2 linked regions of the Caenorhabditis elegans genome follow. The protein of the gene in region 2 purifies or fractionates together with the protein of the main gene of each other region. This does not show direct contact. Each region holds a gene or a part of one and is shown on either strand. Other genes may lie near its edges. The genes, in order: cpi-1 and rcs-1.

Region 1 (3,540 bases), on a different chromosome or scaffold from region 2:
TACCAATTATATAATCTTCGTTTCAAAATGCACGAAAATTCTTAAAATTCGACTACTGTTTCAATCTACTTATATTATTGGAAAGAACGTAGCGCGAGTGATAGTTTCGCTTTTAAATTAAGAAACTCAAATTATTCCAATTTCTGAGCTTTAAAAGTTTCCAACGCACAATTTTAAAATGCACTACAAAAAGAAAACTTACGGTATACTCGGAAGCGTTCAGATTAGAAAATCCACCAAGAACTTGACAATTCATTCCATCAAGAACAGCAAAAAGAAGTGCGATAGAAAGAATAAAACGCATTTTTGTCTCAAAGTATATCAACATTCGTTTGCTTTTATAGGAGTGAGAGGGAGTGCGTGATGAACAGGACACAGCAAAAGATCAAGGGTTTGATTCAAAAAAAAATCGATCATCGCAACAGGTATGACTCATTGTCTTCCCATGGACAATTGATTTTCAACGGAATATAATGATATAATTTCAAAAAATATTTTCTTCAGATGTATATTAGGGTTTTAGCTGGAAAGAAAAGTACGTAACGCAGCAACTATTTTCAAAAACCAAAGTTCTTTATTAGCAATTTTTTAAAATAGTACAGAAAGCAAGAATACATTCACCAGATTTAATTTAAATTTTTTCATCAGGTTTCACACCTCTGATTTTTTCAGCCTTAGTTTGCTTGAAGTTTTCCCATGGTTTCTCCCAAATGGACACTTTGTAAAGTTCACGCTTGCCACCAGACTTCAATGGACAATTTGCAGCAGTGACTTGAGAAGCTTGAACTGATCCTTGTCTCGGACAAGTTGACTCTCCAACAAGAACTTCCAAAACTGTATTGGTTCCGGCAACAACTTGAACTTGAGCTTTAACAACCTAAATAAGAGTGTTATAAAAGCGCAAAGTATTATTTTTTGAACAGCATTTTTTGCCTCTGAGGAGTAAACCTACCTTAATTGGAACCATGTAGTTTTGTCCATTATTCTTACTGTTTATTTCCGGCACCGAATTCCAAGCTGCTCCCTGAAAACTCATAACTAAAAGTGCATATATATTTTAAATTGAAAATTACGGTAACCAAAATCTTTTTTCGAAATATGAATTTTTTCACTGTTTCACAGTTTACATTTGTGCACAAAATTTTTAAATGATACTGTTCAACCAGTAGACATTTATTAAAATTTTGCGCGAAGTGCCAATTAGTTTTGAATAGCAGTTTTGAAATTAAAACTCTTAATTTTAATTTGTTTTATAAGCATTTTGAGTCGTAATTGAATTTTTCAAAGCGCTAAATTTTTATTCCAGTTTTTTTTGTTTAAAAAAATGAATTTATCGAATATTGAAAGAAATTAAAATTATAGTAAACCGGACTAAGTATCCTAAGAGTAAGTATCAACTATAGTTTTAAAAAATATAAGAAATCTTCACAAAATGAGCATTTTCTCAACAAAAAGCCTAAGTAAAACTTACAGTATACTCAGAGGCATTCACATCAGACAATCCACCAGCAATTTGGCAATTTATTCCGTCAAGAACAGCGAAAACAAGTGCGATAAGAAGAATGAAACGCATTTTTATTTTTGTCACAAAATATGTCAACATTCGTTTGCTTTTATAAGAGTCAGTTGGTGAGTGATAAGAGCGAGACAGCTAAAGATCAACAATTTGATTGAAAAAAGAGAAAGAATCGATCATTGCAACAGCTATGACTCATTATCTTCCTTTGGAAAGTTTGTTTACAACTGAATATGATGATATCATTTCATAAATTATTTTCGACTTTTGCATGTTCTGTTTTTCTGGAAAAAAGTGCCGCTTCAGGAATTCTTGCAGAGTTTTTTTGCACCTGAAAGCAATGATAGAAATTCCAGAGCTTCTGAAAATGAAGTAACAAGGCATGAGTTCAAAACTACGTTTTAGTTCAAAAAATATTTACAAAATTTTGTATAAATAATTTACTGTTTCACATTCAAGTTAAGTGAACTTGTTTTAAATGAAGGGCTGTTCCAATCTTTCAGAACTGAAGAACTTTATTTTTAGAAAAGCGAATTTTACCTTCACATGATTTTATAAAGCCACACGATGTTTTCCGTGTGGATCTTGCCACGATCTTAGTCAACACATAATAATCATTTACTATATATAAAGCGCGTGTCCTTCTGTCCCTATGTAGTTTGATCTCTGATCAGAGCGACGAAATTTTGGGAAACCTTATGCTAAATGCGCAGCAGACATCGATCGAGGTCCGCGATAGACACCGTATATCTAATGTGTTTTCTCAAAAAAGTCGGGGGCCGCGCCGTAGGTGCGGTCCACGGCTGGTAATTAATAATTTATTACGCTCTCTGGGAGACGTGAAAGAATACAATAGTTATCAAGGTTTGCGTGATTGGGGCAGCCGGGCAGTCGTTTCCATTCCATTAAAATGTTGTCTGTCGGCCACCCGGGTCAAAAACATCCCGCATTGGTTAATTAGCTACGGAAGTTTAATATCATGAAGTTTCATATCGTCAAAGAAAGACAGAATTCACAGTCATTGTTAAAACACCATAGTTTCCTCAAAGCGATCGTACCGTATTACGGGAACAAGAAATCATGAGAACGCGTACTTGGTGCTTTTATTTGACCCGGGATATCTCTTAGCGAAAACTACAGTAAGAACTCAAATAACAATAAATATTTAAGCTCTTACTGTAGTTTTCGCTAAGAGATATCGCGCGTCAAATAAAATGCACCAAGTACGCATTATCATGCTTTATTGTTCCCGTAATATACATATCTTAATCACTTACAGTACAATCGCGGCGAGATTTAAAAGTAAAGACTAAAATCAAAAGTTCTACCGAAACTGTATCAAAATAACAGCATGTGATCGGAAAAAAGTATTGTTTTAATAAAACATGCGCTTTGTATGTGACTTTTTTCAATTAGCAAGAAAAGATAATGAAATAAAAATCAACAATACCTTACGAATTAGGCTGCATTTTGGGTCGGAGAGATTTTGTGTAAATTTACGGCGCGTTGCGTGTGGCTTCGCGGCTCGTTTTTAGTTACAACTAGTTGTAAAACTGATGTATTTGTCCGTGTGGAGTACACACACAACTCATCTCCACGCGTAGAAAAATCGGATGTTCAAACGAAAGTTCGTTTGAACATCCGATTTTTCACAATAATTACCGAAAACTACGGTCGACAATGAGAAAATTCAAAATGTACGCAAACACCGCCACGTTAAAATGCACAAAATTTTCAAATTGAAAAATATTTTAAATTTTACTTCTCGATTTTCAACGATTTCTCTTCGTTTCCACTGTTATTTCTTGTAATTTTTGTTATAATTGATGAAAATAACATTCAGAAATTTCAGGAAATGCCTCTCGCCTACTCAACACACGATAATTTCTACGAATCGCCGAAAACACCGCAGCCAACCTGGGATCACGTGCACGCACAGTTTCCGTAAGTTTTTTATTGAAATTATTGAAATTATCGATAAATTTAATTGAAATATTTTTAAAATTAAGGTTTTCTGTCGCTTT
Region 2 (4,689 bases):
TTTTAAAACTTTTTTGAAAAAAAAAACAATTTGTGAAAAAAAATCCGCATGCTCCAGGTTTGCGAATCTTCAAGTTTGAAAATCTTCAAACTGTAAAAACTTTCCAAAAATTAGAATTTGGCTGGTTTGCTATTCCAGAAGCTTAAAATCGATACGAGACTTTCTAAAAATTCATGTAACACTGTTTTTGAGCATATTTCAGGTTTTGGGAAAAATTGCAAAATTAAATTTACCCGTGTGGGAAAAGAACCACCGAAATGTGATTATTGACGTAAACGTTAACCAATCGGCCATTCAAACGGTGCTTTCAGTGCAAAACTTTTATGTAGCCTTTTCTACACGTTAAAAACAAGCTTTTCAACAGAAATAGTACTAAATTTTCAGACGGAAATTTTCAGCCCTGTGTGACTCGCCAGCAGAAACGAAAAATAAATTATGTTAGCCAATGATCTTAGCTTCCGTTTGACCTAAAAAACTTTCAGATTGAGGCGTGCTGGTGGAAGATATTCCCTAGTAAGCTACTTTTTGAGCGGATAATCATGATTGTCATTTCTGGTTTCCTATAGCTGTGACACGGGACATTTGACAATTTTTGAGAATTATTATAGGATTCTCATTACAAAATTTTCGGTAGGTTCCAACTCGTTTTCAATAGTTAGTTGTCCTTTAAATCACATACAAGTGTCTCATTCATGTTGTCAAGACTTTATTTGGATGAAAATCATAAACTGGCTGTCAAATGAATAACTTATAAGAATTTAAAACAATGTTCATTTAGTAAAAAAAAAACAGTAAAGTTGGAAAATATCATTAATTAATTTTAGATGAATGGTTATTGAATCATATAAGTAGAATATCCGTTATATTTTATTTTCCAAAATTGAAAGACGCAAGGTTGATTGTTATGTCATCCATTTTGGTTGGTTGAGCTGAAAATCCTAAATTGTTATGGTTTCAGAAATTTGATGAGGTACCCGGTAGAAGTTTCCTATTTAGCTATTTGACACATTGCGCAATACCGTATTTTCTCTATTAATGCTGCACCCCAATAGTCCTTTCGAAAATTAGTGCTGCAGTTTCTATTAATGCGGCACCCATTTTCCATTAAATGAGTCACCTCAATAGCTTCGACATTTGGGGGAGTGTTTTTGTTCATTTTTGATTATTTTTGATGGTTATTGTTAATTTACAAACATCATGAAATCATTATGTCTTTATGTTACAAAAATATTCACTCCTTATGAATTTCTGCTTAAAAGATGAGCTTTTGTGACTAAAAGCTAGTTCGAAAATTTGCACTGCCGTCTCTAATAGTGCTGCGTTCAAAAAGGGACTGAAAATAAGTGCTGTAGCACTAATAGAACACTAATAGAAAATATATGGCAAGAAAATATAAACTCACGTGCGTTAACAACATTTGATTGCGTTGCAATTTTTGCCATTTCCACAAGTTCCATGATTTGAGATTCTTTGCTGAGCAGCCCGGCTTGGTTGATATTGTGAAATTCTTTCATATCAGTGAGCTTTTGTTTGAAACGTTGATGTCCTACGGATAGAATTTCCATTTTCTTTTTGTTGTCGTCAAGGCAGCAATCTGCTGCATCTTTCAATTCCACAAGAGTTTCCTTCTCCCGCTGTGCTACCATTTCTTTAATTTTCTTGAAGTGTTCTTCAATCTGAAAATTTGAAAATAGAAAACATAGTTTGTCAAATTGAAATACCGATTTAACTTTTGCCTTGTACGTAGCTCCACTAGATTCAAAAGAACGTTGAGCACTGAAAAAACTTTATAAAGATTATAAATTCTAAATTGCAACAAACTTTTTGTACTGTTCAATGCAAGATTGAATTGAGTCACAGAAGTTTTCAAGTTTAGTTTCTGAATTGTTCAGGACCGTTCTCATTTTAGCTGCTTCCTCTTGCAACAAGCCTCTGGTATGCCCCTTGTGGTTTCCGAATTCTTCACAGGTGCGGCACATTAGTTTACATTGAGATTTGCAGCCGCTCGTCTGAAAATGTGAATTTCTACTAGATAATGACGGCGTCGATTTTTGATTAAAAAATATTATGTTTCTAATTTGCCAAACTGTGCCCATTTTTCATAAAACTCATTCGGAAAAGCCAATAAAATACTTACGACGCAAACGAACTCGGCCAGGTTGTGTGGATGGTTTTTGCACATCGGAGGGGAGTTCGAATTGACAACCTAACCAAAACTACTATTTAGCAAACCTTCTGTTATGCAGCTTACCACAACGTCCTTCTTATTCAAACTATACCTGGCATCCTCAATAACCTCAATCAGGGCAAAGTTTTTGAGCAGCTTTGTAATGTCGTTATTTACAATGTTTGTTACTGTTCGACAAAATGGACATTCTACAGTACTGTTATTCACCATCGCTGTGATACATTTGTGACACAGAGCATGTCCACAAGCTAAAATATTGAATTACAATTTGCGTATAATTATTTACACGACTTACTCAGATTTCTTGGAATATGTTCGCTGTCGGTATCGGAAAAGCGGTCGAAGCAAATCTTACATTTTGGGAACGACATTATATTCAAATTGAGCGATTATAACCTGAAAGGAAAAATTGAGTCAACCATTTGCAGAAGTTTTAAGACGCTTTTTCTGACTCTTAGATAAGATAGCACAGTTGACTATTGAATAAAACGAATCATCAAAAAACTAAAAAAGGCTTACGAAATTTTATTTCAAAACGATGTTTGTTTGTTGAAGGAAATGCACAGGAAGGAAAAAAACACAATAAGGATCACTAGTTTCCAATCGAAAGGTAAAAAGCGCTAGGAAAATTTTAACACTTTTTTAATTTCAGATTTAAAATGTAAAAAGCTTAAGTTTTTGACAAATTCTAATTTGAATTATTACGTTTTTGTCAAAGCTTTTTACTACCAGTGCGCAGTTCTTTCCATTTCTGCACCTTTTTTTTAACATGTTTTCTCTTGTTGCGAAAATGAAAAACTTACGATGTTCAAGTTGACACAAAAAATTTTTTAATGTTGCATTTTGGAATTCGGTCAAAACACCAAATGCGTATTTTCAGGAAATTTTCCTATTTAAAATAAAGCTAAAACTAATAGTGAGTATCAAGCAAGAGATGATTCATTCATTTTAGAAAAAGCTAAATTTGCTTTGTTTTCAACTTTTTTCAAATTTTCTTGTCGAATAACTTTGTAAAATGGAAAAAAATATGTTGAAAATCGATTTGCGTTGATATGAATACTACCAATAAAAAAAGACAACAAACAGAGAAAAGAGAAGAATAGATACTGCGTGAAAAACTACACATGTTAGAACAAGTGTGTGAAAAAAGGTAAGCCAAAATGAGAGTAAAAATATCAGAGTATGTGTTTGAATTCAGTACTGAATTATATCATAGTGTCGAGTGGTAAACTTGCTGTGCAAACACTTATTGATAAAACATTAAAAAGTGACTAACGGGCAAAAATTTGTTCAATATCATTTTCACAATACAGTATACATCAAAACGTGGTACAGATTTTATTTCAGAAAATAAACAAGTTACGGAAAGACCATTTATTCTAGTGTTCAAATATATCTGAAAGTGGTACATTGAAACGTTCTGCATTTTACTCAATTCACATTATAAAAATCAGAAAAGTGTGTCACAGTCGTTATTTGTAACTATTCAGGAATTGCTGATTCCACTGGAGATCATATCCAAAATAGTAATAAAAAACCAAATACATTTAACAAAAGTTTTAACAAACAAAAAATATTTGAAGAAAATGAACAATACTTTTTGTATGAATGAAAGCCAATAGTAAGACCAAAAATAGATAAGAAATGCGAGACGCAGATAACTTTTTTTTTCGCAACACTCTGCCCCATATTTTAAACTTAGCAAGGATTGTAACTTTTCAAAGATCACGTATTTTAAGAGTAGCAGGTTTACAACTTTTGCTCAGACAAATGTTATCATGATCTCAATCCTAAGATAACGAGGAATTTCAGGAAAGAAAACAACAAGTGTTTATTGAATATTGAATGTACATCGAGAACCAAAACTTATTGCAGCAGGCTAGCAAAATTGAAATTTCGGCAATTCGACTTTCACATTGTGAATTGATAAAGGAATTGCTGAAAAATCTTGAAATGTGTCGAATGTGTAAGAAATGAAATGTATTACGTGTATTTGCAGACGGATTCTGAACCAATGATTCTGTTGCATCTGCCATTGATTTAATATTTCCAGCTTCATTAATCAAAATTGATTCATCCAAGAGACTTAGTCGTTTGATTTCAGCAAGCTTATCTTCAAAGTAACGATGCCCTGATTTCAGTGCTCCAACCTTATTCCTATTTTCCATAAGTTGCCGCTCTGCTAATATGCCCAGCTCTTCAATTGACTTTTGCTCTCGAACATCAATATTCTTACGCATGCTGTCATAATGGCCTTTTATCTGCAATGAATGTGTTCAACCTCAAAAGATTCAAAGCTTTTTTTAATACTTCGTTTATGGTATCCATGAATGCGTTGCTGTCAGAAGAAAGTGAGTTTTCAGCTCTAAAAATCGATGCAATATTAATTGTACATTATAAAGGTTTTTGATATACTTTTCAAAATCACGCAAACTGTTCTCAATGGTATCAATGAACTTGCTGAGTCTTCCTTCAGATTTTTTCAGAATAGCTTTAAGCAT

The links.
Region 1: the proteins of rcs-1 (region 2) and cpi-1 fractionate together in Caenorhabditis elegans (co-fractionation; one large-scale study listed by BioGRID). This does not show direct contact.

What each region holds. Positions count from the first base shown.
Region 1 is NC_003282.8:6,092,045-6,095,584, forward strand, and holds cpi-1 (Cystatin cpi-1), read right to left. Parts: upstream 1,589-3,540; 5' UTR 1,574-1,588; coding exon 1,472-1,573; intron 1,180-1,471; exon of another isoform or gene 1,158-1,179; intron 1,025-1,157; coding exon 953-1,024; intron 878-952; coding exon 632-877; 3' UTR 559-631; downstream 1-558. Other genes in the region: K08B4.7 (Cystatin), read right to left, coding at 203-304. UniProt on the Caenorhabditis elegans protein: Cysteine protease inhibitor which inhibits members of the peptidase C1 family. Does not inhibit asparaginyl endopeptidase. May play a protective role against exogenous cysteine proteases derived from soil bacteria or fungi, or rotting fruits and vegetation.
Region 2 is NC_003284.9:8,825,929-8,830,617, forward strand, and holds rcs-1 (RING-type domain-containing protein), read right to left. Parts: upstream 2,591-4,689; 5' UTR 2,560-2,590; coding exon 2,484-2,559; intron 2,437-2,483; coding exon 2,252-2,436; coding exon of another isoform or gene 2,207-2,251; coding exon 2,138-2,206; intron 2,010-2,137; coding exon 1,822-2,009; intron 1,777-1,821; coding exon 1,722-1,776; intron 1,677-1,721; coding exon 1,403-1,676; intron 930-1,402; coding exon 868-929; 3' UTR 676-867; downstream 1-675. Other genes in the region: C28G1.6 (RING-type domain-containing protein), read right to left, coding at 4,068-4,126, 4,176-4,449, 4,499-4,553, 4,604-4,689.